4 linked regions of the Anolis sagrei genome follow. The protein of the gene in region 3 interacts with the protein of the main gene of each other region in a pairwise test. Links are inferred from orthologs where the notes say so. Each region holds a gene or a part of one and is shown on either strand. Other genes may lie near its edges. The genes, in order: TRAFD1, RAD23B, NGLY1 and UBXN2B.

Region 1 (8,019 bases), on a different chromosome or scaffold from region 3:
CCAAACATGTATGTAAAGTTTAAGCCTATTCAAAAATAACGGTAACTGGGGCGAAACGGCGCTCAACAAATCATTACTGAAATCTTGTGGTCCTTGAATCACGTTCGCAGAGGGAACATCAAAGACAATGTCTATTATTCCCGTTGTTCTTAACCTTCCTTTGGTAAGGTTGATACCTAGGCCTTGCATTGTAGCCTTGCCTACGATTATTTTGATACCTTGAGGGACCCCCACGGTTCCCCTGAGCAGAATTATATCCATTAAAGAAACTCTTACGATACGTAGGCGGGGGTTGCTGCCAACGTGGCCTCTGCTGAGCACCCGATTGCCAAGGGTAGTTGTATTTAGCTGCATGTAGTACTTCTCTCGAATGCTTAATCTTGTCATCGGTTGTCGGATCGAAGAGACCTTCCTCGTTCATAGGAAGATCCTCCGCCAACAAGCGGCTCTCCTCTGACAACGTGGAGGCACGAAGCCAAGCATGACGCCGTATTGCTGTGGCTGAGGCAAAAAGTTTACCAGAAGCCTCCGCCATATGTTTTGCGAAATCTTTCTGAAATCTAGCAAGGGTCAAGGCTTTCTTCTGAAACGCCTTAGGGAGTTGGCGGTCGTCTAATGGGAGAAGCTCAATAAATGGTGTGATCTTATTCCAGAGAAAACTCTGGTATCCACTCATGTAAGTGGCATAATGTGCCATCCTATTGAAAAGACCCGCCGCCAAATGAACTTTCTTCCCAAAGGAGTCTATCTTTTTGCCCTCCTTATCTGGTGGGGTAATGGACTGCTTCTTTGGCCGTTTAGATCTAGCAGCTTCAGCCACCACAGTGTTGGGCGTAGTGGGGCGAGCAATCCATTTAGCCACAGAGAGGTCAACCTTATACATGAAATCAACTCTCCTTGGAACGGCCGGAGCAGCTGAAGGGGACACATCTGGCACCTTGGTCAATTTAAGCAAATAAGGTAAAGTAGGGAGGGAAGTAGATGATGGGTTATCCTGTTGATCAGGCGGAAACATGGGATCATCTACAGTTGACTGAGGTTTTAGGGCGGGAATATCAAAAGCCGTTATCATCCTCCCCAGTAACTGCATAAAGTTATTAAAGTCATCTGAACGTTTAGCAGGGGCTTCTTGGTCACCCCCCCCCCCCATGTGATGCTTCCAACCCGTCATCAGACAAGTCAGTGTCAATAGTGTCCTCTCGAGTTGGATCAACAACAGGCAGTTCATCTGATGTCTCAGTGTGAGCCCTCATGGAATGTCGATCATTATAAGAAGGTGCTTGATACATAGGGTTTGAAACCACTCCCTTTCCACGTGGTGGAGGGGAAATCAAAGCCGGGTCCCTTTGGCACATCAAGGGGGCATCATTGTGATACGGCTGCCAAGCCCCTCCTCGTGACGTTGAGGGCTGAGGTGAATGACCATAGTAAATGAATCGCCCCCTAGGCGTCACTTGGTAGAAACCCGGCTCAGGTGGAGGAATTCCATTCCTCTCCTCCCAATCTTCCCAATGAGATGGGCGAGAATGGGGAAAGGAACAACGTTTGCAGGCTTTTGCCTTCTTGCGTCTCGCTTGTGAGCAAGAAGACGCAGAGCACGTTGAGGAGGAAGAGTCGCTAGACGTCGATCGATCCCTACGTCTCCCACTCTTCCTGGACCGTGATGGAGCACGCGCACAGTGCCGCGGCACAGCTACGGGGCTTTCCCGGCCTGAAGGACGGCTTGTGGGAGGAGCCTGTCTTAACTCCTCCCTGGGCTCGCTTATACAAGACGCAGGGTCTGTTGGCGCCAAGAGCGTCGGCATTGGGGGCGTGCCCGAACTCCCTTGAGGCTCTTCTTGCGCACGCGCGAGGCGTGCTCTAGCCGATCCCGGCTCCGCCTCAACTCTCTCCTGCGCACGCAAGGGGCGTGCTTTCGTCGATGCCGGCTCCGCCTCATTGCCTGTTTTTTTTTAAAATAATTTTTATTGCATTTTAGTGAAGTTACAAGGCAAGTGGGGGAATAATTGTGGAGGAGATAGGAAAGTAGGAAATAATAATAAGCATAGAGTGTTGTGGAAAAAAAATATCGAAGGGGGAAAGAAAAAAAAGAAAAAAAAGGAAGGAAAGTGAAAAATAAAAATGAAAAATAAAAATAAAAATGAAAAAGTCAAGAAAAAAATAAAAAAGAGAAAAGAATGGACTTCCATCTGTTCTTTGAAGATCTTCTATGTTTATATTGAGAAAAAAAATCCAAAACCATGGTATATTAAAAAATTGAAAACGAAAAAATATCATTCATTTTAAGTAGTCCATTATGCTTTCCTGTGATGCAGTTATTTATGTTCTATGTTATTAGGTATCAAGGAACGACCTCTATTTTCTGTTGCTTAAAATAATTTTTCACCAAATCCCAGTTTGTGTGTTTTTTCGGTTTTCCTTCATTCGGTGTCAGCCAGTACGTTAGCTCATCCATATTGATTATTTCTAGTATCTTACATTGCCATTCTTCTATTTGTGGTATTTCTTTCTGCCTCCATCTCTTGGCATAAACAATGCTGGCTGCTGTGATCAGGTAGTTGAAAATGATATCTTTATTTTTGTCTCCTATTATATCGTACATTCCCAGCAAGAAGAACTCTGGTTCTTTTCTCATTTTTATGTCAAGTATCCTTTGTATGTTAATATAGATTGTATTCCAATTTTTTTTAGCTTTTGGGCAACACCACCACATGTGGTAGAAGGATCCTATATGTTGATCACATTTCCAGCATCTGTCAGGTGCATTTTTGTGAAACTTTGAAATCTTCTGTGGCGTAATGTACCACCTATGTATCATCTTAAGTTGGTTTTCTTTTAAATTATAGGAGTAGGTGTACTTCATTTTCTGATTCCAAATCTTCTCCCATTGTTCTAAACGAATTTGATGGCCTATGTTTTGTGCCCATTTAATCATTGATTCTTTTATTTGTTCTGTTTCCGTTGTCCATTCTAATAATTTTTTGTAAATTTTTGTTATTATTTTATTGTTTGTCCTCATAATGGTATCCCAGAATCCCTCTTTAGTTCCAAAATTTGATTCTTTATCAATTTTATAGCAATCTAGAATTTGTCTATAGTTCAACCACGATAGGGTAGTGAAAATTTCTTTAATCTCTTTTTCTTCTCTTAACTCAAATGTTCCTCTTTCTGATCTTAGTAAGTCTTCATATGTAGGCCAGGTTTCCCAGCCTAGCTCTCTTTGTTGCCTGTTTGAGGATGCATCGGCCATGTCGCAGCCGATCCCGGCTGGGAAATGGGCTCAGTTGCAAGGGGAGGCTGACTCTGCCTCATCCCCGGTTCGATCAGTATGGCTCTCTTAGGCTGCTTAATGGAACCTTTAGCCTTCTCTATATTTTTAGTTTTCTTAGTCTTCTTCAATGCCTTGGATGCGGTCTCCAATGCAGGTAAGTCTATTTTCTCGGCTGGGTTTTGGTCGCCATTTTGTCCCCTTGGCGTTGGAGGGAGGAGTGCCCGCTCATACAACACCGCTTTAAGGCGGATTTCTCTATTTTTTCTCGTTTGGGGGGTAAAGGATTGGCAAATAGCACAAGTTTGCGACAAATGTCCTTCCCCCAAACATGCAATGCACAGAGAGTGTGCGTCATATCAGGGAAGTTTCCCTGGCAAGTGGAGCAATGCTTAAAGCCTTTAGTTTGAGACACTGTTCTAATTAAAGCGTCTACGCTGATTTAAGTTGAAATTTAAGTTGAAATCTAGAAGTAGTTTTGTCGTCAGATACAGATTTAGTCAAAATTGTTCTCTACAGAAGATTTTGAGCTCGCTGTTAACGCGGATGAAGAGAACTGAGGCGGTTAGCCAGCCCACGGGCTATATATGTGCTCGAGGGGAGTGTGGGCGGGGCCAACCGCCATTTCTTTCAAATTTAACAGAAGATTCCGAAGCTGTGCTGCACGCGCACAGGGGATATTACCATATGTGTGTATTCACAGCAGACCACGCAGGGAAACTAAGGCTCATCTCTTCTTGGAGTTGACCCCCCCTAAAGTCTAGTTCGACTGATCAAGTGGTCCCTGGTCAAAGCGGTCCTTCCTCAAAGTGGTCCCTGCTGAAGAGGGCCCTGGTCAATGTGGTTTCTCATCAAGTGGACCCTGGTCAAAGTGGTCCCTGCTCATGAGGGCCTTGGTCAAAGTGGTCCCTGGTCAACCAACCAAGGATTCTTCCTGGCGGGAAACAGTCCAGCTTTGAAACTGCAAGGCCACTCAATGGTAATCAAGCTGGTCAGTGGCAACAATCACACCATTATTTCTATATTCTTTATGTCATGAAGAATTCACATTCTTTATTTATATCCCACTTTTCTCCCTCACGGGACCCAACATATTAATGCCATACAAATTACAGCCCAAATACTTCAATCCTAACCAGTAAGACCAAAAATGGATATAAAGCATCTTGAAATGGGCCATTTTGAAAAACAGCCATTACAAAACAAATCAGGGCAATCCAACTAATTGCTGAGATGAATCAGCACAAAATAATGATTGCAATCATTCTAAATCCCTGTTCCTTTGTCGAATCATGTAAGAGGCATCTAGAATTACACAGCCATCTGTGCTATCCACTCAGTTACCACAAAAAACGGGTAATGTTATATTCTTGTTTAATAGGAGACGCTTTTCAAGTAGGGCGATGGAAGTAGATAAGATGTTCCTAGGGAGGGGAAAGCGAGGAAGGCGGTTGGCGGGGCCGCGCATGCGCAGTAAGGAGGCCGATTGGCAGGCCGGTTGTTCCTCGAGCGAGGGCTTTCACTTGAAAAGGGCGGGGCGCGGGGAAGCGGGCGGAGAGCGGAGCTGGAGACGGCCCAATGGGGAGGCGCGGGCGGCGGTTGAGGAGAGGCGGCGGCCAATGGGCGCGCGGAGGGCGGGGCTGGCGACGGCCCAATGGGGAGGCGTGGGCGGCGGTTGAGGAGAGGCGGCGGCCAATGGGCGCGCGGGGAAGCAAGCAAGGGGCGGGGCCGGGCGCTGGAGCCTGGCTTGCGCCGCTCTGAAGCGGCCAGTGGGCGGGAGGACGGGCCAGGCGGGCGCCAACGGTCCCGGCCGTTCTTGAGGGGAGGCGCCCCCTCGGGGAAAGGAGAAGGTACTGCGTGGGAAGGCGCTTCAGGCCTAGCTTGGGCCTGCTGGTCTACCTCGCAGGGCTGTGAGGAGGAGCCAAACCAGCCCTGCGAGGTAGGCAAGCCCAAAGAGAGCCCTGCTCCCATTGGCTGGTTCACAAGGATAAAAAGCTGTCAACAAATACACGTTTTAGCACAGGCCTGGGCCAACTTTGGCTCTCCCTCCACGTGTTTTGGACTTCAACTCCCACAATTCCTAACAGCCAGTAGGCTGCAAGGAATTGTGGGAGTTGAAGTCCAAAACACCTGGAAGGAGAGCTGAAGTTGGCCCAGGCCTGTTTTATAATTTATTATAACAAATATAAAATTTTCTAATGTATTATAATAATAAAGTATTTATTTCTAGCCCGCCCTCTCTCCCACAAAGGGACTCAGGGTGGCTTTTAGCACCAATGTCCGTTAGGGGAGGTAGAAGGCAAGCCTTTCAATGGGAGGTATCAGGCACAATTAGCACTCCAATGATTCTAATTGTGGGGGGAAAAGTGACATTGGTTTTGTCTGCTTTCCTCCCCAGGAGCCGTGGGCCCATCCACACCCAGCCTGGCTTCCTCCTTATCCGCAGGGTCTGTTCAGGTAAGTCGGACTCAAAGGTTTGCAGGTCTGGGCGAACTTTGACCCTCCAGGGGTTTTGGACTACAACTCCCATAATTCCTAACAGACGGTATGAATTTTGGGAGTTGTAGTCCAAAACACCTGGAGGGCTGAAGTCGGCCCAGACCTGTCTCACAACCCTTACAAAAGATGTTACCGTTGGAAACTGACAACATCAAAAAAGAATTGGCTGGATGTAATATATAATATATAATTTATTCATTTATTTACTGCATTTCTACCCCGCTCTATCTCATCCAGAAGGGGATGCAGAGTGGTTTCCAGTTTGGAAATTCAATATTACATAATTTATTTTGGGTTGCTGTGAGTTTTCCAGCCTGTATGGCCATGTTCCATGCAGGAAGCAGCCAGACTTCAAAGCTGCAAGGCCCTTCAGTGCTAATCAAGGTGGCTAATGGCAACATTCACACTTGCCTCCAACAGACAAGAGTTCTTTCTCCCACCCTGGACATTCCACAGATATATAAACTCCACTTGCCATGTTTCCAACAAACCTCACAACCTCTGAGGTCAGGAGAGAATGCTTCTGGAACATGGCCAGAGAGCCCGGAAAACTCAGCAACCCAGTGAATTTGGCCCTGAAAGCATTCGACAACACATCATTTATTTATTTACCATATTTCTACCCTGCTCTATCTCTCCCCGAGTGGGACTCAGAGCAGCTTCCAGTTTTGGCAGCCATTCAGTGCCACGTTAAACAGAGAACAGCAATAAATAACACAACAAGCAATAACATCAAAAACATAAAAATACCTTTAAAGCAATTAAAGTTAAAAAAAACTTGGCATGATACTACATTTCCTTTGAAGCTGGGATGCCTCTGCTATCACTGTAAGGAGGTCCTCCGTTGTGCATGTGGCGGGGCTCAGGGCCCTTCCAGGGACAGGCCCTATATCCCAGGATGTGATCCCAGGTTTTCTGCTTTAATTTACACTGAATTACGTGAGTCTGCACTGCCAGATAATAATTTGGAATAAACAGAAAACCTGGGATTGATCCTGGGATATAAGGGCTGTATTGGTCTGTTGTTTGCTCTTCTCCACACTCGCATGTTGTGTACTCCACTTTATGGCCCCATTTCATAAGATTGACTCTGCATCTCGTGGAGCCAGATCACAGCCTGTTCAGTGACTTCCAAGTCACCTAAGGCCCTTCCACACAGCCCTATATCCCAGAATATCAAGGCAGGAAGTCCGACATTATCTGAGTATGGACTCTGATAACCCAGTTCAAAGCAGATATTGTGGGATTTTCTGCCTTGATATTATGGGATATAGGGTTGTGTGGAAGGACCCCCAGTCTTCTGTGTGCCCAGGAGGGAGTTTCTTATCTGATCTCAGCCACAGATTGAGGTTTTGGGTTTTAGCCTGCCACTTTTGGACTCTTGTTTGCTGAGGTGGTCCTGTGAGTATCTCTGCAGATCTTAGGAAGCTGTTTCTTGATTAAAGACATTGGCATGCTGGCTGATATCCAAACGATGGGCTGGAGATGTCCTTTCATTACTGGCTGCTACTTCCTGGCAGATATCAGATGGTGCAATGCCGGCGAAGTAGTATAATTCCTAGTGTACTCAGCAGCAGAGTAGCCAAGTGCAAGGGCAGATGCCTTCACTGTGTCTGACTGTGATCCCTAGGTTGTGCCAGTCAGTGTTCGTATGATATTATTTCTGGCACCTACTTTTTGCTTGATAGTCAAGCAGTGCTTCTTGTAAATCAAAGCATGGTCCAGAGTGACTCCCAGGTATTTTGGTATACTGCAATGCTCCAGTGGAATTCTTTTCCAGGTATTCCTCAGAGCTTGAGGCATTGGGGGAGGGGGTGGGGGGTGGAAAGATGAGAAAAAGTGGACATTGGAGAACTGGAACAATTACCTATATGAACAGGTACAATTCCAAATTATGACAAGTGTCACGAAGCAGGAGAAAATAGAAGCAATCAAAAACAAATGGACAATATATACAGACCAGGGCCCCTTCCAGACAGGCCCTATATCCCAGGATCATGATCCCAGAATTTCTGCTTTAAACTGGATTATATGAGTCTGCACTGCCAGATAATAATCTGGGATAAACAGAAAACCTGGGATCAGATCCTGGGATAAAGGGCCTGTCTGGAAGGGCCCTGGGTAAAAACGGATAAATCCAATACAAATATTATCATGAAAGTAAGAGAATGGTGCACAGGGCTAAAGATAACAAGATAGTGGAAAATGTGGTCGGGAAGGTTGGTGATGGGGGGGAATAATACAGGAGTTTT
Region 2 (7,245 bases), on a different chromosome or scaffold from region 3:
ATGGCCAGACAGAGGAAAGCACATGTATATACAGACATCTACATTACTATGTGTCGAAAATCATTCCAATATTTTGACAGTGCAAATTCTATCACTGATAGGCGTGTGCACATGTGCCTTCAATGAGCCTGTTGCTTTATAGAAATCCAATTAATTTCATAGGTTACTCTTAGGCGAGGAATACTCAGGGATAGTTTTGCTAGTTCTTTACTATGAAATATTGCCCATGACATTTAATTTTCATTGGTGGTCTTTCATTCAAGTACTAACTAGGGCTGACCCTGCTTAGAGTCCATCAGATGGGATCTGGTGTGTTTAGGACATTTCAGCAGGTTTGTGTCGAGTCCCAAAACAAAGTCTCTTTAAAAAGAAAACTCAGCAGTGTTTTGCTAAATCCTTCCTCTGAAATATAACTTGCAGTACCTGGCATTTATCGTTGGTTTCCCATCCAAGCACTAACCAGGTCTGACTCTCCTTCAAGATCAGACTGGATATAGTCTTAAGGGGTTTAGACCACTTTTCTGATAGCTACCCGAATTACAAAGACAGTATAAGCTTAGTACAACCTTTTTGGGTAGCATGTGTCATATGTTAGGAACTTTCCTCCTCTGCGAGTTTCCAGGATCAGCACTGAGTCCAGGAAGACCCCCAAACTGCAGACCTGTGTAATCAGGAGGAGTGTCACCCCGTCGAGCACAGGGTGCAACCTCACGACTGACCAGGAAGACCTCTGTCTTGTCTGGATTTAGCTTCAGTTTGTTAACCCTCATCCAGTCCATCACAACTGCCAGGCACTAGTCCAGAACTTCGGGGAGCTTCCTTGGATTTTGGTGGAAACGAATAATAGTTTGTGTGTCATCTGCATACAGAAGACACCAAACTCCTAAACTCCAAAGACCTCACTCAGCGGTTTCATGTCGATGGGGGATAGAATAGAACCTTGCACGACTCCACAAGTCAATGGCCAGGGGTCCGAGCAGGTGTCCCCCAGCACCACCATCTGGGTCTGGTCCTCCAGGAACGAGTGGAGCCACTGCAATGCAGTGCCACCAAGTCCTATTCCAGAAAGCTGGCCCAGAAGGATACCACGGTCGATGGTATCGAAAGTCACTGAAAGATTCAAGAGAACCAACAGGTACACACTCCTTGTCAAGCTCCATGTGAAGGTCATCCACCCAGGTGACCAAAGCTGTCTCCATTCCATGACCATTGGAGTCCACGTTGCCATATATTCCAGTCCAAAGCAGATAATGTGGGATTTTATTCAGCTGTGTGGAAGGGGTCTGAGGGCCCTTCCAGAAAGGCCCTATATCCCAGGATCTGATCCCAGGTTTTCTGTTTATGCCAGATTATCTGGCAGTACGAACTCATGTAATTCAGTTTAAAGCAGAAAACCTGGGATCAGATCCTGAAATATAAGGGGTTTGGGTTGGATGGCCCCTGTGGTCTCTTCCACAGCCCCTTCCACACAACTGAATAAAATCCCACATTTTCTGCTTTGAACTGAAATATATGGCAGTGTGGACTTAGATAACCCAGTTCAAAGCAGATATTCTGGGGGGCCTTCCACATAGCCCTATATCCTAGAATATCAAGGCAGAAAATCCCACAATATCTGCTTTGAACTAGGTTATCTCAGGGCCCTTTCACACAGCCTTATATCCCAGAATATCAAGGCAGAAAACCCCATATTATCTGAGTGTAGACTCAGATAACTCAGTTCAAAGCAGATTTTGTGGGGTTTTCTGCTTGATATTCTGGGATATAGGGTTGTGTGGATGGGCCCCTAGAACATCAAGACACAATAACCCACAATATCTGTTTTGAACTTGGTTATCTGAGGGCCCTTCAAGACACGCCATATATCCCAGGATCTGATCCAATGATTTGTGTTTATCCCAGATTATCTGGCAGTGGGGACTCATATAATCCAGTTTAAAGCAGAAAACCTGGATTCCGATCCCGGGATATAGGGCCTGTCTGGAATAGCCAGGAATCCACATTGCCATATATCCCAGGGCCCTTCCACACAGCCCTACATCTCAGAATATAAAGGCATACAATCCCACAGTATCTGCTTTGAACTGGGTTATCTGTGTCCACACTCAGATAATGTGGGATTTTCTCCCTTGGTATTCTGGGATATAGGGCTGTGTGGAAGAGTTCCCAGTTTAGAGCAGATCTGGGGTTGTACTCAGCTGTGTGGAAGGGGCCTAAATATTATGATTCTAAAACCTCCTGGCTCACTTCTCCCGCGCATGGATCCCAATAGTGGCGCATGCGCACACGGAGCCACGGACGGACACACACAGAGACAGCCTGAGTGACACACACACACACCCCTTCCTCGCGCGAAGCGATAATGCACAGTCATGGCACCCTTTCCCCTTCATAAGCAGGCCCGCCCACCCTTTGCGCGACGGAGACGACACTCAATACCCTTGTCACCACCCAACGAAGCAGCAAGAGCCGTCATGGCGGAAAAAGGAGGGGGGGGAGAGGTTTCCCCTCTTCGCGAAGAAGGGTCTCGAGGCCCGCGCGCAGGCCTGGCCTATAGCATGGAGCCGTTTCCATAAGCGACCAATGGCGCGCCAACTTTTCCCTCCTCACCCCCCCCTTCCCCTCCCCCCGCTAAAAAACTTCTACAGGCCTCTTTGCGAGCTAGGCCTCGAGGAGGCTCTCCTTCCAGGCCCCGCCGCCATTTGAGGCCTAGCAGCCCTCCTCTTCCCCGCCGCCCATCCCTTTCCTCTTCCTCTCAGGCCGCACCGTCTCCTCAGGGTCGATGTCTATCTTGAAGGTCTGCTGCTGCAGCGTCTTCAGCGTGACTTGCATGGCGGCGGCGGCTGCTTGGCAGTGGGGCCTCCTCCCCCGGCGGAGCCAACCCGCACCCTCCTCCTTTCTTCCTTCCTTTCCTTCCTTCTTTCCTTCCCTCACGGAGGACGGCAGGCAAGCTCCAGCGACGTTGGGAGAAAGGAAAAAGGGAGGGAGGGAAGGGGGGCAGTGGGCGGAGCCACGACGCGCCAGACGTCCCCATGCGCGCGCACCGGCGCAGGCGCACTCCGGAATTCTCACGCTCAGGGCAGGGAGGGGGCCGCCGCGGTTGGCGCCGCCGCCGCCATGATGACGACAGCGCGCGTGACGCTGCAGTCTCGTGACGGCCCCTCCGAGAAAGTCCGCCAGCGGGAAAAAGGAAGAACTGCGCATGTGCGAGCGGGACTCTTCTTCCCCGCGGAAGAAAAGGATGAGGGAAGCGTCAGAGAATAAAACCAGGAAGGAGAGCAGGATTTGAGGAAGGAAGTAGGCGCAGAGGTGAGGAAGAAGGGAGAACTCAAGAACGTATTGACTGAGGGCCCTTCTACACAGCCATATGACACAGAATATAAACGCAGCCAATATATCTGCCTTGAACTGCGCTATCTGAGTCTACATAACCGGGTTATCTGAGGGCCTTTCCACACAGCCATATAACCCAGAATATCAAGACAAAAATCCCACAATATCTGCTTTGAACTGGGTTATCTGAGTCCACACTGCCATATAATCCAGTTCAATGTGGATTTTATACAGCTGTGGAAGGGGCCCAAAACAGAATAATCCTTTGAGGCAGCTGAAAGTGCAATTTCCCTGGATTTCTCTTTTACCACACTTTAAACTCCTGAGGCGAGGAAAGAGAAAGAGTACACACAGGCCCCTTCTACACTGCTATAAAATCCATATTATGAGGCAGTGTGTACTCATATAATCCAGTTCATAGCCGATGATGTGAATCATCTGATTTAATAATCTGGATTATATGACAGTGTAGAAGGGGCCTTGGTGATAGTATGATAGCTGGGACCCAGTGCTGCTAGCACGACACTGTTTCTGCAACGCAGGTTCGGGTATGTTGGTAGCGCAACGCGGGTCAGAATCAGGGAAGGGAATATATGTGCAAGACAGTGCACCTGTCTTCACCAGCTTCATGGCTACCCCACATCCAGCCTGTCCACAAACTGAACAGCGTTGCCCAATAATTAAACGTGCCTCCAAAGAACTCACTTCCTGCTCAGTTGTGCGAAACTGCTCAATAAACTGGATTTCATTAATTCCTCACCACTCCTTGTATGTCTCTCCTTTTTATCCTTCCTTCGAATGCAACAACGAACTATCTTCCCGACTCTGTTGCACCTGCGTCTCTCACTCTGTCTGCTCTCTCGTCCACGTCATTCACGTGTTTCCTTCCCTCATTCACAACCACTGTTGCGAAAACAGCGTAGCGCTAGCAGCACTGGGTCCCAGCTATCATACTATCACTGTGGTCTCATATAATCCAGTTCAAAGCAGATAATATGGATTATCTAGTTCAGGGGTCCTCAAGCTAAGGCTTGAGGGCTGAATACGGCCCTCCAAGGTCATTTACCCGGCCCTCGCTCAGAGTCAACCTAAGTCTGAAATGACTTTAAAGCACACAACAACAACAATAACAATTCTATGTCATCAGCCAAAAGCAAGGCCACACTTCCCATTGAAATACTAATACATTTATATTTGTTAAAATTGTTCTCCATTTTAATTATTGTATTGTTTTTAAGTGTGGGGTTTTTTGCACCACAAATAAGATATGTGCAGTGTGCATAGCAATTCATTCATTTTTTTTCCAAATTATAATCCGGCCCTCCAACAGTTTGAGGGACTGTGACCTGGCCCTGTTTAAAAGTTTGAGGACCCTGATCTAGTTGATGATCTGGATTATATGGCAGTGTAGAAGGGGCCACAGTCGGTTTATGTATGTGGTGAGAGCAGAGTATATAGACAGTACACACAGATAGGTACACAAATATGTGTATATATACTCATGTGAGGAGTCACATATATATGTGCGGTAATAATAGTAAATTTTATTACACAACTCTCACAACTTCACGTGAGGCACAACACAGTAAAAAGCATTAACATAAAATACATACTTTAACACATTACTATAAAATACATGTATTAAAACGTATGGTATAAAGATGAAAATGCTATAGTTATAGAATGTAAATATAAAATTCATGGTTCAAAATTTGCTGAGTAGGCCTGTTGAAAGAGATGGGTCTTTAGTCGTGTTTTAAATATAAATATGCATATATGTGCATGCAGCATGCATACAGCTTATACATGGTAGGCCAACAGTCATTAAGGGGCTTCAATCTTTAATAATGCCTTTCAAAAAAAAAAAAACAACAACACATCAGGACCTGCCTAAAAGTACTATTCTGTCTTAGTGAATGTGTGCTTACATTGCTTACATGTGTGCGTGGCAGTGCCTGCCTGTGTGTGCATATGTACAGGCAGTCTTCAAGTTATGAACAAGATAGGTTCTGTAGGTTTCTTCTTAAGTTGATTTTTTGGTAAGTTGTACAGGTACATTATTTAAGGGTAACTCCAGACACACACATGCATATATAGGCTTTGGATAGCATAGGGAAGTGTTAGCACTCTTGTGTTTGTTTTGCTGTCAGTGCCCCTGTTCATAAGATTTCACCTCACTTTCTGTCCCTGTGATTATTGGGTTTTGAAAAAAATTGGCTTGTTGTGGAAAAAAGGATTGGTGATGAAGCTTCAGTGGAGACCACTTTTCCCCATGAAAACTCTTTCAGGGATGAATTTCTCTCACTTCCTGTTGTCTCAGCCCCATTCTTAACTATGAGTCATTTGTAAGTTGAATGTTTGTAACTCAGGGACTGCCTGTACACAAACATGTACACAAACACACATATCCATTCTTATTTTTTCTGCTCTATAGGATTACAGTCTGCAACGGATTTTTGTGACAGCAGTCCTGTATACATTATTTGTGAGCCATTCTTGTTGATCTCTAAGAATTAACTCCTGTTAGACACAAAAGTCATGTTCTTTTGTGATAGCTTTCACTATATTTATTGAGTTTCGTTTGTACTTTTACTGGAATTGGAATGTCAAAGATGTTCAAAAAGGAATTGACACAGTTGAAAGTTTAATTCAAAATGCAGTGCAATAGCAAAGCAACAAACAGGAAGCAAATTCCTCACTGATCAGAAGTGCTTCTTTCTTTCCCGGAAATTTGCAAAGCACTACCAGCTGTGCAGGGACCAACACTTTGATTAGTACTGCTGTCCTGCAAAAGAGATTGGTAATAATGTGGGTGGAGGGCCACTCAGCATCTGGGTCTCTTTCACACTATGAAATCATAGTGTTACGATTCCACTTTAACTGCCATACTTGCATCCTATGGAATTGTGTAGTTTATATTTTAGTGAGGCCCTAGAGTTCTCTAATTTTGAATTCTAAACACTCCATCCTAATCTGCAATTCCATAGTGTCGACACTGCTCTAACCAATTAAGACTTTAAAGGTTGAGAAATATTCAAAAATTTTAACGGCTGAAATGAATAGAGACAACCATTTGTCCTCCAGATAATTCTGTATATTAACTTCTGCTAGTCCTAGCCATTCTGGCAAGTGGTCAGCAATGATGGAAATTGTAGTCCAGCAGACTTGCTGATCACTAGTCAGCCATGGCCAATAAAACTCTTAATTGGACTTGGAAGATAACTGGCAACAAGCTCATGTTTTTCAGCATGGGTTAACAGTTATTATGATACTGAGTGAGCATCTGTTATTCAGAATTCTGCTGTCTGAAATAAAGATACCTTTGCTTTCTGATGGCTTAGTTTATACAAATTTGATTTCATGCACAAAATTATATAGTGTTACAAACACTCAAGTTATACATAATTCTTCATGGAGAAAAGGAACATATAATATACTTTTGTTTTATGTTCATTTTCCCCAAAAAGTACATTATCAATTTTCTCGTATGGCTAGAGTGCTGTAGATGTATGCTAATTCTTTAAATAGTCATTTCGTGAACACACAGGTTGAACAGTTAGCAAATAGTGAAACACATGGTGATCATGATTTGTTACCAGCCTCTCCTCACAACAGGGGGCAGGGCACAACATAGTTAAACACATCATCATAAAAACATTCAATAAAATGCATATATTAAAACATTTTTATGTAAAACACACACACTAAGATTCATGGAACAAAGATCAAAATACAATAGTCATAGAATGTAAATTTAAAATTCATAGTTTGAAATTGACCAGATAGGCCTGCTGGATGAGATTGGTCTTCAGTTGTATCTTGAATTCCTACAACTGATTTTGCTGATTAATCTCTTCCAGCAGGTCATTCCATAGTCTTGGAGGAGCTGACAGTCGCTAGTCAGGTTCTGGC
Region 3 (7,602 bases):
CTTTGTTCATGTTCTTGTTTTCAAGTACCAGGTTTTGCTTTTATATTTCTGTACTGGATTCTATGTTTCTTGGATTTTTCTTAGAATTCTGCAGTTGCAGTTTTACAAGGTTTTAGTGTTTACTGCCAAAGAGTGCTGGTGCCTCACTAAACTACAAATCCCACAATTTCATAGCCAGGGAAGTTAAAGTGCTATCAAACTGCATCGATTCTACAGGAAGTGCTTGATTTTATTCCGCCAGTACTTCACTACCTCCACTAGCTTCTTGTATGTTTCTAGGTGCAATTAAAAGTGCTAATTGTTAATATCAATCAAGACCACATTGCCCAAAGGACCATCTCTCTATATACACACTTGTCCAGAGTGTAGGATCTTCTGAAGAGGCTCTCCTCCCATACAATCCCGAATTTGCTGGGACAGTCCAGATTAAGCCAGTCATTCCAAATTGTCCAGCTGCTTTTAGTTTCCCTTTCCTCCCACTTCCTCTTTGATTGTTGCAGGCTGAGTTCAGATTGCAAAAGTAATATCTCAGCAGAGATAACAGAATATTGCCCTTCCTCACAGGAAAAGGCAAAAGCAAACTGATGCAGCCTCCGCTACCTTGTGTACAGTATTCCTCTTCATTAATAATTTCTGCCACCTTGATCACACTCTGATGTTGCTTGGTCACACATTTGTGAAATATTGGAGGGTATGTCCTCTGAGTAGAACTATCAAATCAAGTATGGCAAGTGGTTCGAGTGGAAGGGGACCTCTAAGAGTGCGTCTCCAATGTGGAATTAATGCAGTTTGATGCCACTGTAACTGACATGGCTAAATGCTATGAAATCATGGGAGTTATAGCTTGTCGAGACAGCAGCACTCTGTCACAGAAAGATCTAAAGCCCTTGCAAAACTACAACTCCTATGATTCCATAGCTTTGAGCCACGACATTTAATGTGGTGTCCAACTGCAATAAGCCTACAATGTAGCGCAACCTGAGTTCTAGAACCTTTTCTAATAGATTATTAATTGTTTGGAAGTTACTGGTGGGGTTTCAGTCCACATTATTCCTATTCCTTTGGTACATGTCAAATCTGCATTTCAATATGCCCAGAATTATTTGTAGTAATTGCATTTATATCTGGGGATATATATATATGAGAGAGAATGACTGGAGTGCATTATTTACCGGATATACATAAAATTATACATATATTGTTGAAATAGCATTTGAGGGCACTTGGGGAAAGATAACTGCCCCAGTCTAGTCCAATATTTCATGCCAAATGTGTTTTGGATCCTTTGGCATAGCATTGCACATTGAATGTGTCTTCCCAATGGTTTGATTTTAATATAATACAATAATATAGGTAGATACAGATATAGATAATATATTATTATTATTATCATATTTATTTTTACCCCTCTTTATTTCTCCCGAAGGGGATACAAAGAGGCTTTTTGTAGCTCTATTCCTTTTGGATTTATTCTGATATTTACTCCATTTTCTGAGGAACTGGAAAGATGGTTAAAGCATCCTCCTGTGACTCCAAACTCATTACAGTGTATGTTATTTAACAGCACTGTTAAATACCAAGGTGCTTGTTTATAAAGCTATTGTCCTCCGAACCCTGCTATATGCCTGCGAAACGTGGACTGTCTACAGACGTCACATGCAACTCTTAGAACGATTCCATCAGCGCTGCCTCTGGAAAATTCTACAAATCTCTTGGGAAGACAAGCGGACAAATGGCAGCATGCTGGAAGAAACAAAAGACCACCAGCACTGAAGCAATGGTCCTCCGCCATCAACTCTGCTGGACCGGATGCCCGACCACCGTCTTCCAAAGCAGTTGCTCTACTCTGAATTCGAGAATGGAAAACAGAATGAAAAGAGATTTAAAGATGGGCACAAAGCCAACCTTAAAAACTCTGGCATAGACACTGAGAACTGGGAAGCCCTGGGCTGTCAGGAGGTCAGCTGTGACCAGCAGTGCTGCAGAATTTGAAGAGGCATGAATCGAGGGAGAAAGCGAAAAACGTGCCAAGAGGAAGGCGCGTCAAGCCAACCCCAACTGGGACCACCTTCCACCTGGAAACCAATGCCCTCGCTGCGGGAGATGAAGCAGATCAAAAACAGGGCTCCATAGTCACCTATGGACCCACCCTGGAGGATTATCCTACTCGGACAACGAGGGATCTCCTAAGTAAGTTAACAGCAAAATACATGCATTTTAGAGAAGCCCAAGGTTCTGACATTTTCTCATTGTTTCACCATCTCTGTGCTTTCTGAGTGGTGTATATGCACTGCCATATTCAGAATAAAAATTCATCAAACTGACATTCTAGATTCCTTTGCATGATGGATTTTTGTGCATTTTGGTTGGCCCATGAACAGATCCCTCTTTTGTGGATTTTATTGTATTTTGCTGCATGGCCATTATAACTATCCCTGCATATATTCTTTAGATGGCTTGACCTCTCACATTAGTGCGGTTGCTTCACAAACAAATCCATCTTCCTATTAATGTTATTAAGCAATGAATGGATTAATGCATTAAGATAGGTGTGCTGTAAGCACAATCTTGCTATTTATACTCTTATTCTTGAAATATCCACGTGTTGTTTATGCTCCTTAAATAGCATGCCTGCTTAATAGGCCATCCAGAGGGAGAGATCTGATTGCATCTGACCATAAGCAGGTAATTGCTTCTATTTACTATAGGATGGCATACAACGGAATGATCCCGCCCGCGCCACAGAAAACAAAAACATCGGCGAGCGTGATCCGTAAGGTTTAACAGCCGCTGAGTCGAGCCTCCGCGCAAAGAGACGGGCGCAAAGACTCCTCCAGCCCTCGCTCCTGTTGTTTGCCGGGCCCGCCCGCCCCTCTCACCTGATGATATTATCCGCATAGGTAAGCAGCAAGCGGGAGGCCTCTAAAAACGTTTCTGTGGGATTCTGGCAGAGCTCGCTCACGGCTCGCGAAGGCAGCGGCGCGGAAGGTCCCAACGCGGCCGCCATCCTTCCGAAGCGGTGCTTGTGCTTGCCTACCAGTAAGGGAGAAAGTTCTATTTCGTTCTGCGCCCGCCCGCACTTAATTCCTGAGAAAGCTGACTCAGGCCAGCCGACTCCAAGCCGGAGCTCCCCCTCCCATTCAGGAACTCAGGGGAGGAGGGCGGGGCAGCGCGTGCGACAGGAGGCCTCCATGTTGGGAGTGGGTGGCGCGCATGCGCAGCAGGAAGACATCCACCTTTGGCCTTTGTACAGGTTGGGGCGCCTCTTATCCGAAATGGTTGGGACCAGGAACGCTTGGGATGCGGGAGTCTTTCGGATTTCGGAATATTTGCATATATATAACAAGATATGAAGATGGGACCTAAATCTAATCATTTATGTTTCATATATTCCTTATGGTTGTAATTTTAGACAAGGCTTGTGTACATTGAGGCATCAGAAGACACAGGTGTCACTGTCTCAGCCACACAATTTTGAATTTTTGGAGCACAGACTCAGGGCCCTTGCAGACAGACACTATATGCCAGGATCTGATCCCAGGTTTCCTGCTTTAAATTGGATTATATCAGTCCCCACTGCAAGATAAGCTGGGATAAACATAATTTTATTTATTTATTTATTTAGAGCTTTTATAACCCGGTCTTCTCGACCTCCGAAGAGGGACTCAGACCTGTTCACAACAAAAGATTCATAGACAATAGTATAAAAACATCACAACCTCATAATACACTAATCCATAAAATACAATAATATAATTACATAAAGCCAGGTCGTCAGAATGAAATCACAGTTCAGCACCATCCGTCAGTGTGGTCAAGAGTTATTGACTCACTCATCAAATGCCATATTCCAAAGCCAAGATTTCACCAGCTTTCTAAAAGTCAGGAGAGAAGGGGCAGATCTAATCTCCAGTGGGAGAGACTTCCAGAGCCAAGGGGCCACCACCGAGAAGGCCCTGTCCCTCATCCCCACCAGAAAACCTGGGTCACATTCTGGGATATAGTGTCTATCTGCAAGGGCCCTGAGTCTGTGCTTCAAAAATTCAAAATTGTGTGGCTGGGTCAGTGACACCTTTGTCTTGTGATGACGCAATGTACACAAACCTTGTCTCAAATTACAGAAAAGCTGCGATCAGATCCTGGGTAATAGTATGAAAGCTGAGTCTGGAAGCTCTAAGCCAGTGGTTCTGAACCTTCCGAATGCCACAACCCCGTAATACAGTTCCTCATGTTGTGGTGATCCCCAACCATAAAATTACTTCCGTTGCTACTTCATAACTGTAATTTTGCTATTGTTATGAATCATAATGTAAATATCTGATATGCAGGATGTATTTTCATTCACTGGACCAAACTGGGCACAAATACCTGATACGCCTAAATTTGAATACTGGAATTTATTTTGTCATTTGGGTGTTGTAGTTACTGAGATTTATAGTTCACCTAAAATCAAAGTATTCTGAACTCCATCAACGATAGAATTGGGCCAAACATGGCACACAGAACCCGCATACTAACAGAAAATACTGTGTTTTCTGGTGGTCTTTGGTGACTCCTCTGACGCCCCCTCGTGACCCCCCCACGGGTCCCGACCCCCAGGTTGAGAAACGCTGCTCTAAGTGTTACACTGTTTCCGCTTCGCTCCTGCGGGAGCACTGTTTGTGCAACGCAGAATGGAACACAAATATTATAGAAGGAATGTAAGAGTTCTTTAATGGTAAAACGCTAGTCCTTTCCTGAACCCTTACCCTAAGCCTAACCCGAATCCTAACCCAAACCCTAAACCTTACCCTAAGCCTAACCCTTACCCTACCCCAACCCTTACTCTAAACCAGTGGTTCTCAATCTGGGGTCCCCAGATGTTTTTGGCCTTCAGCTCCCAGAAATCCTAACAGCTGGTAAACTGGCTGGGATTTCTGGGAGTTGTAGGCCAAAAACATCTAGGGACCCCCAGGTTGAGAACCACTGCTCTAAACCTTATCCTAACCCTCCCCTCCTTTCTATCTTTTCACCAAATGCAACTATGAAGAATATTCTCCCCTTCCCTTATTCACAACCACCATTGCGGAATTTGCATAATGCTCAGAGCTCCCGGACACAGCTATCATACTATCACCAGGGCCTGTCTGGAAGGGCCTTCAGTTAATCAGCATCCATGACAGATACATTTAGTTTCTGTTTGCTTTGTTACTATTCAAAATAGGCCAGACTAATAGTATATCTGATACTATATCATGCCATAAACTGTATTGCCTTGACAATAATATTGGAAAAAAATAATTAAAAGCAAATAATGTAGCACAGTTTTAACAATATGGAGTTCCCCAGCAGCACAATGGGTTAAACCCTTGTGTCGGCAGGACTGAAGACTGACAGGTCGCAGGTTCGAATCTGGGGAGAGTGCGGATGAGTTTCCTCTGTCAGCTCCGACACACCATGTGGGAACATGAGAGAAGCCTCCCACAAGCATGGTAAAACATCAAAACATCTGGGCATCCCCTGGGCAACGTCCTTGCAGACGGCCTATTCTCTCACACCAGAAACAACTTGCCATTTCTCAAGTCACTGCTGACATTAAAAAAATGGTAACCGCATTTTTATTTAAATTATGATTTCTTAAATTTCCTTGCCGGTTGCTGGAGAATTCAGGAAGCTTGAGTTACTGTTAACTGAGGCTAGATCGGCACTGCCATATAATTAATAATAATAATTACTTTATTTGTATTCTGCCCTATCTCTCCGAGGGGACTCAAGGCAGATTCCAACAACGAGAAGGCAAACATTCAATGCCTGAAACAACAATAAATGCAAATATATAAAATACAAAAACAATACTAAACCACCCAAAACCCAAAATAAACCAACATACACCACAACAATGGAGCCCCTGGTGGCACAGCAGGTTAAACCTCTGAGATGCTGAACTTGCTGACCGAAAGGTTGGCGGTTCAAATCCGGGAAGCATGGTGAGCTTCTGCTGTTAGTCCCATCTTCTGCCAACCCAGCAGTTTGAAAACATGCTAATGTGGGTAGATCAATAGGTACGACCCCAGCAGGAAGGTAACGGGACTCCATACAGTCATGTTGGCCCCATGATCTTGGAGGCGTCAACGGACAACACCGGCTCTTCGGCTTAGAAATGGAGATGAGCAACCCCCCCCCCCCCAAAGTCGGACACGACTAGACTTAATGTCAAGGGGAAACCTTTACCTTTACTATAGCGAAATGAACCGACATACATCCAATTAAACCCACATGTAAACCCAAATTATAACAACCTAAAATTAAATTTAAATTATGTTCAGCATAAAAATATGAACCTTAATTTATATTTTAAAAACCAAGTTTCAATTGCAATTACATTAAAATTAAATATATTGCTGTGCTGTAACAGAGCCAACAAGCCAAAGTGCAAAAACAAATTCCAGCCATCAGTATGTTAGGTGTCTATGGTCATCTAGGCCTCCTCATCTCCATATGCTAAAGAGCAAAGGTGAGTTTTTAATTATGTTTTGAAGGAATGCAGTGAGGGGGCAATTTTTATCTCTTTAGGGAGGGCATTCCAGAGGTGGGGCGCAATCACGGAGAAGGCTCTCTCTCTCATTCCTATCAGTCGTACTTGGGGTGGGGGTGGAACCAAGATTAGGGTTTCCTCTGCTGACCGCAATGTCCGAGTTGGTTTATAAGTCCATGATGACCAAACCACATGATTCCAAACATCATTTTCATATGGTAGTAATGATAGCTCTGACTAACACACGCACACATTAGAAAGGTAAATTAGAAGAGTTGTAGCTCTATTGATACAGTGGAGCCATTTCCACCCATTTTACATGAATGACATCTTTTTACTATGCTGTTGTATATAATGGATCTTAGAGCATCCACAAATTTTGGTATCCATGGAGGGTTTTGGAACCAAACCCCAGCTACACATGTCAACTGAAATTACAAGAAATTGTTTTGTGGTTATATCTAAGTATAGACATATTTTTATTAAAAACACAGCATGTGTACACAGTTATTTTGGTGACATCCCCTCTGATGGTGTCACCCAGTATGGCTCGCACCACCTAATAATTTTGTTACAGAATTGTATACGATTTCCGAACAGACATTTTTTTCCTCCCCTCTGAAATTACCATTACATTTTCTGCACAGTTAGATAACACAGATTGAGGTCATTTTAAAAGTCTTTCTTGTCAGAACTCTTACTCAGCTAAAATAAGCAATAACTATAAAGGCTGCATTCCTGTGCACATTTGACGTTCAGCTGTTTGTCTCAATGCAGTACCTTTAGCCACTGAAAATAATGACTGAGGTTGATGGGAGCAGCAATACACAACGTGTAGGAAACAATTTTGAGAGAAAAGTTGTCAAGGAATAAATCCCTCTGAATTCCAGAAGTTAATTCCAAACAAATATTTATGTAACCTGGTTGTATAGCCCATTGAAAGCCTTTTCACTTTTACTGGAACTGGCAGCATAATTTTGTGCAAATTTGATCAGTAAGTCTTGTATTTAATATCAGCTGTCAGAATTTAAGACACAACTGAAGACCCTTCTCTTTGGGCAGGCCTACCCGGTCAATTTGAAGTTGTG
Region 4 (7,190 bases), on a different chromosome or scaffold from region 3:
CTTATCCTGAATTCTAAAAACCCCCAAATATTCCAAAACCTCAAACTATCCACTGAGATAGTGGCTGAGATAGTGACAACTTTTCCCCTGATGATTCCACATACACTTTATTACATGCACAAAATTATTAAAATATTGGATACTGTTCCATTATCCAGGCAGAGGTCACTAGGAGATGCTACAAAGAGAAGGATGGTCCATTTTACAGTGAGGGAGTTGATGAAAACCATTCCCCCCATTTTTGCTGCTTATTGAATAGTTGCCTACGTGTAAAGCCATCTTGAATCCCCTCGAGAAGGTGGGATAAATATGGTAAATAAATACATAAATATTTCCACTTCTCATATCATAAATGAGAGTTTCTTCCACGACGGGGACATGGGTGGTGGTGGGGGGGTGAATAACAGGAAAATAGGGGGAAATGATTTTATTCCTTCATCCTCTACCCCCACAACATTCCCATAAAACGGACCATCCATCTCTCTTTAGTGCCCCCTAGTGGCTTCCACCCAGATAATGGAATAGTACCAAATACTGCATATGAAATTATCTTCAAAGGATGCGTATATGAAACAAACATAATAAAAATAAACTGTATTTCTTTCTCGCCTCTCTTCATAGCTGGAGGCAGGGTACAACACAATAAAAATACATAGATAACAGCATAAGACCATGAAAGCACATATATTAAAAGACACAGAACTATGATTAAAACACATTAAAATAATCCATACCAGGCCAGGGCAAACTTTGGCCCCCCAGGTGTTTTGGACTCAACTCCCACAGCAGGTATGCTGTTAGGAATTGTGGGATTTGAAGTCCAAAACACCCGGAGGGCTGAAGTTTGCCCAGGCCTGATCCATACCAATAAAAGGCAAGTTTACATTGTGCTGTCAAAGGCTTTCATGGCCAGAATCACTGGGTTGCTGTGAGTTTTCTGGGTTGTGCTTCTGGAACCTGGCAGCCCGGAAAACTCACAGCAACTACGTTTACATTCATAGGTTGAAACTGACTGGATAAACGTGGAGTATGTTTCCAAAAGGTACCCTCACAAAAAACAGAAAAGAAAAATGAGGTGGCAGCACATTGATGGCTTGGAGTAGACTATGGTGTTATACATATTACACATATAAAAGTTATCAAAATGCATTAAATCATTTAGGTACAGAGTTTGGAAAAAATGTTTGCTATAGCGTAAGAATATGTCAGACGTTTTTAAAAATTCCTGTAAAAAGTGTACATTTTATCTTTTAGAAATAAACTCCACAAACGGGTTTGGTGTTGAAGCCCTTTCATTATGTATAAAGAAGTATTCCGAACTGAAAGAGGAAAAATCCGAGATCATGGCCCCTTCCACACAGCTGAGTAAAATCCCAAATTATTTATTTATTTATTTATTTATTTATTTAGTAGTTTTATATACCGGTCTTCTCACCTCCGTTCGAGGGACTCAGGCCGGTTTCCAACATCAATATTACAGACAGTCATTAAAACATCATATTCTAAATCACACTAAAACATTAAAATAGCAAAATACAATCATAATCATAATTACAGTGGTCAGTCGTCATCAAAAATCATTATTCGTCGTCATCCATCCATATCACAGGATCATGGCTCATTTGTTGAATGCCAATCACCAAAGCTAAGTTTTCACCTGTTTCCTGAATGTTAAGATAGAAGGGGCAGTTCTGATCTCCAGTGGAAGGGAGTTCCAGAGTCGAGGGGCCACCACCGAGAAGGCCCTGTCTCTCGTCCCCACCAGCCACGCCTGTGAGGCGGTGGGATCGAGAGCAGGGTCCCTCCAGACGATCTTAGCAATCTTGATGGTTCGTAGGTGAGGATACGTTCGGACAGATAAATTGGGCCGGAGTCGTTTAGGGCTTTATAGGTTAAGACCAGCACTTTGAATTGTGCTCGGAAGCTGACTGGCAGCCAATTATCTGCTTTATTTATTTATTTATTTATGACATTTATATGCCGCCCTTCTCACCCCGAAGGTCAGAGCGGCTTACAAGTAAAATACAGTACAATAAATAAAATAAATACAATATCTGTTTGGACCCCTCTCTTTAGGCTAGTCTCAGAGCAGCAGTTGGTGTTGGGGGGAGGGGCTCCCAACTGACACCGAAGACAAGATGACAACCCTAAAATCCCAAATTATCTGCTTTGAATTGGAATATATGGTAGTGTGGACTCAGATATCCCAGTTCAAAGCAGGTATTGTGAGATTTTCTGCCTTGATATTCTGGGTTATATGGCTGAGTGGAAGGGCCCTGCTTCCATGCATTTCTGATGAGGGATGCTCAATCTGCATTTAAAAAAATAACTCTCCGTATAGCCATGGCTTCCCTGCACTGGGAACGCATTCCTTCCAAGACTGACGTGACAAAATGTGTCGTCATCGTCAGGGGCACGTTTGCTTCCCATTTGGGCGGAGAAAAGACCCCTAAATCTGTCTGAGCCAAAGAGGAAGGGAGTCATGGGCTTGGCCCACTCTTCCGAACCACCCCAAGGCATCAGGGCTCGGGTTTCTTCTGTAATTCAGGAGGAGGAAGGAGGCGAGAGGGGGCGAGGCCCTTGGGCCGCACACACACTGCCTTCCCTACCTGCAGATCCCGGACGGTGGGCGGGCGGCCGCTTCCTCGGGGCCCTTTCTCCCGCCTCCCTCCGCTGGTACCCGCTGCTGCAGCCGCCTCCGGTTCCCTTTTTTCCTTCTCCTTCTCCTCCTCCTCCTCGTCTTCCTCCTGAGGCCGCTCGGCGAGTGTCCCATCGTCCGCCATCTTCGAGCTGGGCGAGTGCCAACTGCCAAATCCAGAGAGAGGAGCACGCGGGAGGGCGGTTGGGCAGGCGCGCGCCCGCTCGCTCGCTGAGGAGTTCTTCCGGCAGCGAGGGTTGCTATGGCGACCGGCTCGCAGGTGCAGGGCCCACGTCGGTTCCGCTGGTCCCCAAAGCCTCCTCGCTCGAGTTTCTTGCCTGTCTTCTCGGGCCCTCCCTCCGCCCCGCCCACTCGCACCTGTTTGCGCGTGCGCCGTTCCCATTGGCTGGCCCGGCCGTCACTCTGGGTTGACAGGACTCCGAAGGGAGGCGGGCCCAATGTGTGTTATCCTTTCAGTTCAGGGCCGTCACAGGTTGAGCAGCCCTCACACCGAAATTTTGAGGGGGCCAGAAAGTGTTTGGGGCCCCATCTACTACTATATAATACAGTTTGAAACTGCATTATATGGCAGTGTAGATGGGGCTCCCAGTAACTTCTGGTCCCAAGCATATCGGTGTGAACTTGGCAGAGAAATCAAAACACCTTGTAAAACTACAACTCCCATGATTCCATAGCATTGAGCCGTGGCAGTTAAAGGAGTGCCAAACTGCATTCATCACACTGTGCAGATAGACCCTTTCTGATTCGTATATAATTGACTCTCAGGCTGGATCTGTCATGTAAAACAATTCCAGAATGCAGATTAACTGCATTGAACTGGATTTTATGACAATGTAGACTGATAAAATCCAGAATATAGTTAATTTGGATTCTGAAACTGCATTATTTGGCCGTGTCGATGGAGCCAAAGTTAACCGGCACCCATGGGAATTGGTACATGCTGGATAAATCTAGTTTCTGGTTGCCTGAGAGTTATTATTAAAAATGGACGTAACTACTACTATGCCATATCTAAACTCTGTATTGACTTGATATTCATACTGAAATACAGCAACAGCAAATAATGAAAACTAAAGACTAATTTAATATAATGGGTTTATGCTTGATTTAATGAATGGTTATGTTACATTGTTTATGTTGTTTTTGTTAGCTGCTTTGGGTCCATCCGGAAAAAAAAAACCTGCATATAAATTCCAGAAATAATATAATATAATACAATTTAACAATAAATACATGTCCTTTAATTTTATTTAAAGTATTATTTATTTGAATTTTTTGCTGGTTGCTTGAGTTCCGGTTAACCGAGAGTCCACAAAAGCTTACATTCATTAAACATGTTAGCCACTAGAATCAAAGAGTAGAAAGATACAGTCAACGCAGTACTAACAAATGGCCATCCAGCCTCTGCTTAAAAATCTCCAGAAAATTGGACTCTGTCACCCTATAAGGCAGCACATTCCACTGCCAAACAGCTCTTAACTTCAGGATGTACCGAACGAATCTCCCCTTATGAACCTGCAAGGACTTTAAGATTGTCTGGAGAGGCCCTGCTCTCGGTCCCACCATCATCACAAGTACGGTTGGCAGGAACGAGAGACAGGCCTTCTCAGTGGTGGCCCCTTGGCTATGGAACGCCCTTCCTAGGGAGATTAGATCTGCTTCCTCGCTCCTATCATTCCGGAAGAATCTTAAGACATGGCTATTTGAGCGGGCATTTGAAAATACAGAGTAAAGGATATAATAATGGAATAACTATATGGACATTGTTTTAATGATTATCGATTGAAGTATGTGTCATTATAATGTTTGGTTTTATTGTTGCTGATGTATTTTATATTGTATGTTGTAATTGTGTCCTTGGCGGCATTGAATTCTTGCCTTGTAAACCGCCTCAAGTCGCCAGAAGGCTGAGAGGGGCAGTATAGAAATGTACTAAATAAATAAATAAATAAAATAAAATACTTCCTAATCTTTCTTGGACTATTTATTTATTTACCTTGGGAAGCCAGACTTGGCCACGGTGGTCCACACTCTTGCTACATCCAAGATAGAATACTGCAACGCACTCTATGTGGGGTTGCCTTTCAATAATAATAATAAATAAAAAACTTTATTTATATCTCACCACCATCTCTCCAAGGGGACTCGGGGCGGCTTACATTTGAAGACTGCTCAGAAACTTCAAATAGTCCAACGAGAGGCAGCCAAGTCAATAACTGGGGCTGCATACAAGGAGCATACAACTCCCATGTTGCCCCAGCTCTACTGGCTGCCAGTTTGCTACTGGGCACAATTCCAAGTGTGGGCCTTGGCCTATAAAGCTCTAAATGGCCCCAGCCCAATTTACCTGTCCGAATGCATCTCCTCCTATGAACCATCACAGAGATCCTCCATCCTGCCATTGTCACAAACGTGATTGGTGGGGACAAGAGAGAGGGCCTTCTTGGTGATTGCCCCCCCCCCCCCGGCCCGAGTGGTGAGATAAAATAGGCCCCCTCCCTCCTGTCCTTCAGAAGGATGGTAAAAACTTGGCTGTGGGACCAAGCTTTTGGGACAATGCAATAAAACAGTGATAGGAAACCTTTTCAGGCCATTTATTTATTTATTACTATATTTGTATATCGCCCTTCTCAGCCTTTTGGGCGACTCAGGGCAGATTAGACACAGATTATCAAGACTTTTAAACAGTGTATTTTAATATTGACTTTAATATTATTTTGTATTTAATTAATGTATTTTAATATTGATAAAATGTTTTTAATGTTTATGTATGCATATAATGAATTCATGTCCTTGGCATTGAATGTTTGCCTATATATACTGTGCTCTGCCCTGAGTCCGCTTCGGGATGAGAAGGGCAGAATATAAATGTTTTAAATAAATAAAATAAATTTATTTATTTACTGTATTTCCCCCCGCTCTATCTCAACCCTGAAGTGGCTTCCAAATTGGCAATAATTCAAATCCACATTAACATAAGACAAACAAAATACAATACACCTTGTGCGTTAAAGCATGAAAATAATAAAACGCTAACATATAAATATACAAATAAGCTGTTAAAAGATTACACATAGACTAAAAACCATAATCCAGAAGCCGTTCCAATCACATAGCCCTGTGTTACTCTCCAAATGCTTGGTTCCATAGCCAGGTTTTAACTTGTTTTCTAAAGGATAGGAGGGAGGGGGCTGATCTAATTTCACTGGGGAGTTTCACAACCAAGGGGCCACCACTGAGAAGGCCCGGTCCCTTGCCCCCATCAGCTGCCCCAGTGAAGAAGGTAAGACTGAGAACAGGCCCACCCCCAAAAAGATCTTAGCACCCAGGATGGTTTATAGGGGGGATGAATTCGGGCAGGTGAGCTGGGCCAGAACCATTTAAAATCTAGCATTTTGAATTGTGTTCAGTAACAAATTGGCAGCAAGAAGAGTTGACGCAGCATAGGAGTTGTACGTACCCTACATGCCACTCCGATGAGCAGTCTGGCTGCTGCGCATTGGGCTACTTGAAGCTTCTGAACAGTCTTCAAAGGCAACCCCTTGTAGAGTGCGTTGCAGTAATCTAATTGAGATGTAACAAGAGTGTGGACAACTCTTGTTAGTCTGGCTTCTCAAGGGACAGGCGCAGCTGGCGCACAAGTTTTAATATCGCAAAAGCTCCCCTGGCCACCGTCAAGACCTGAGGTTCCAGGCTCAGTGATGAATCCAGGAGTACTCCCAAGCTGAGAACCTGTGTCTTCAGGGGGAGTGTAATCCTGTCCAGCACAGGTTGGACCCCTATACCCTGTTTGGCCATTCAACTGACCAGAAGTACCTCTGTCTTGTTTGGCTTCAATTTCAGTTTTTGAAATATAACAATTAATTTACTCCCTATATGCCAAAATTTATTGTTATTGAAAAGAGAAAAGGCTTTTCTCCTTTTTAGAGGATGCACATAAAATGTATTTAGAAGACTTTGTTAAAAACAAGCCTTTGGAGAGACATTCTTCACCACTAGGTGGTGGTGAAGTAACACTTAATACTCACTAAATATATTAATTTTGCTTTTTCCTTTTTTTCTGTAATGTATTGAAAATCACAACAGCTGTTTTACAAACCTTATTCATGGTACACTAAATTGCAGTTCAATAGTAAAGTTGTTATTCAAAGCTGGTAGCCTGCTATTTTTGACATCTAAATTTGTTATACGCATTTTGTAGAAATACGTTTTAATATATGTATATATAATGTTTATGATGATTATGTGTTTTTAGCTGTTTTATAACCTGCCTTGAGCAACAAGGAGAGGCGGAAAAGAAATAAATGATGATGATGATGATTGGAGGCAAAAAAAAAAAAGACTACAGTTGTCCTTCAACATTTGCAGTTTTGCCATTTGTGGATTTGATTGCTCACAGATAATAACAATAACAACACCTTATCTATATTCCGCATATACAGAGACACAAGGCAAACATTCGATGCCTCAGAACAATGAAACACAGACACACAGATAAAGGTAAAGGCTCTGGGGGGTGGTGCTCATCTCC

The links.
Region 1: the proteins of NGLY1 (region 3) and TRAFD1 interact in binary tests that used the Homo sapiens proteins (3 or more experiments, as listed by UniProt). The two-hybrid records come from large-scale screens. The link is inferred for Anolis sagrei from reciprocal best matches to the Homo sapiens genes NGLY1 and TRAFD1.
Region 2: the proteins of NGLY1 (region 3) and RAD23B interact in binary tests that used the Homo sapiens proteins (3 or more experiments, as listed by UniProt). The two-hybrid records come from large-scale screens. The link is inferred for Anolis sagrei from reciprocal best matches to the Homo sapiens genes NGLY1 and RAD23B.
Region 4: the proteins of NGLY1 (region 3) and UBXN2B interact in binary tests that used the Homo sapiens proteins (3 or more experiments, as listed by UniProt). The two-hybrid records come from large-scale screens. The link is inferred for Anolis sagrei from reciprocal best matches to the Homo sapiens genes NGLY1 and UBXN2B.

What each region holds. Positions count from the first base shown.
Region 1 is NC_090034.1:30,491,197-30,499,215, reverse strand, and holds the start of TRAFD1 (TRAF-type zinc finger domain-containing protein 1), read left to right. Parts: upstream 1-5,011; 5' UTR 5,012-5,118; intron 5,119-5,126; exon of another isoform or gene 5,127-5,207; intron 5,208-5,666; 5' UTR 5,667-5,725; intron 5,726-8,019. UniProt on the Homo sapiens protein: Negative feedback regulator that controls excessive innate immune responses. Regulates both Toll-like receptor 4 (TLR4) and DDX58/RIG1-like helicases (RLH) pathways.
Region 2 is NC_090022.1:200,263,924-200,271,168, reverse strand, and holds the start of RAD23B (UV excision repair protein RAD23 homolog B), read right to left. Parts: upstream 3,008-7,245; 5' UTR 2,833-3,007; coding exon 2,767-2,832; intron 1-2,766. UniProt on the Homo sapiens protein: Multiubiquitin chain receptor involved in modulation of proteasomal degradation. Binds to polyubiquitin chains.
Region 3 is NC_090026.1:84,840,137-84,847,738, reverse strand, and holds the start of NGLY1 (peptide-N(4)-(N-acetyl-beta-glucosaminyl)asparagine amidase), read right to left. Parts: upstream 3,008-7,602; coding exon 2,880-3,007; exon of another isoform or gene 2,715-2,879; intron 1-2,714. UniProt on the Homo sapiens protein: Specifically deglycosylates the denatured form of N-linked glycoproteins in the cytoplasm and assists their proteasome-mediated degradation. Cleaves the beta-aspartyl-glucosamine (GlcNAc) of the glycan and the amide side chain of Asn, converting Asn to Asp.
Region 4 is NC_090024.1:48,752,544-48,759,733, forward strand, and holds the start of UBXN2B (UBX domain-containing protein 2B), read right to left. Parts: upstream 3,001-7,190; 5' UTR 2,784-3,000; coding exon 2,610-2,783; intron 1-2,609. UniProt on the Homo sapiens protein: Adapter protein required for Golgi and endoplasmic reticulum biogenesis. Involved in Golgi and endoplasmic reticulum maintenance during interphase and in their reassembly at the end of mitosis.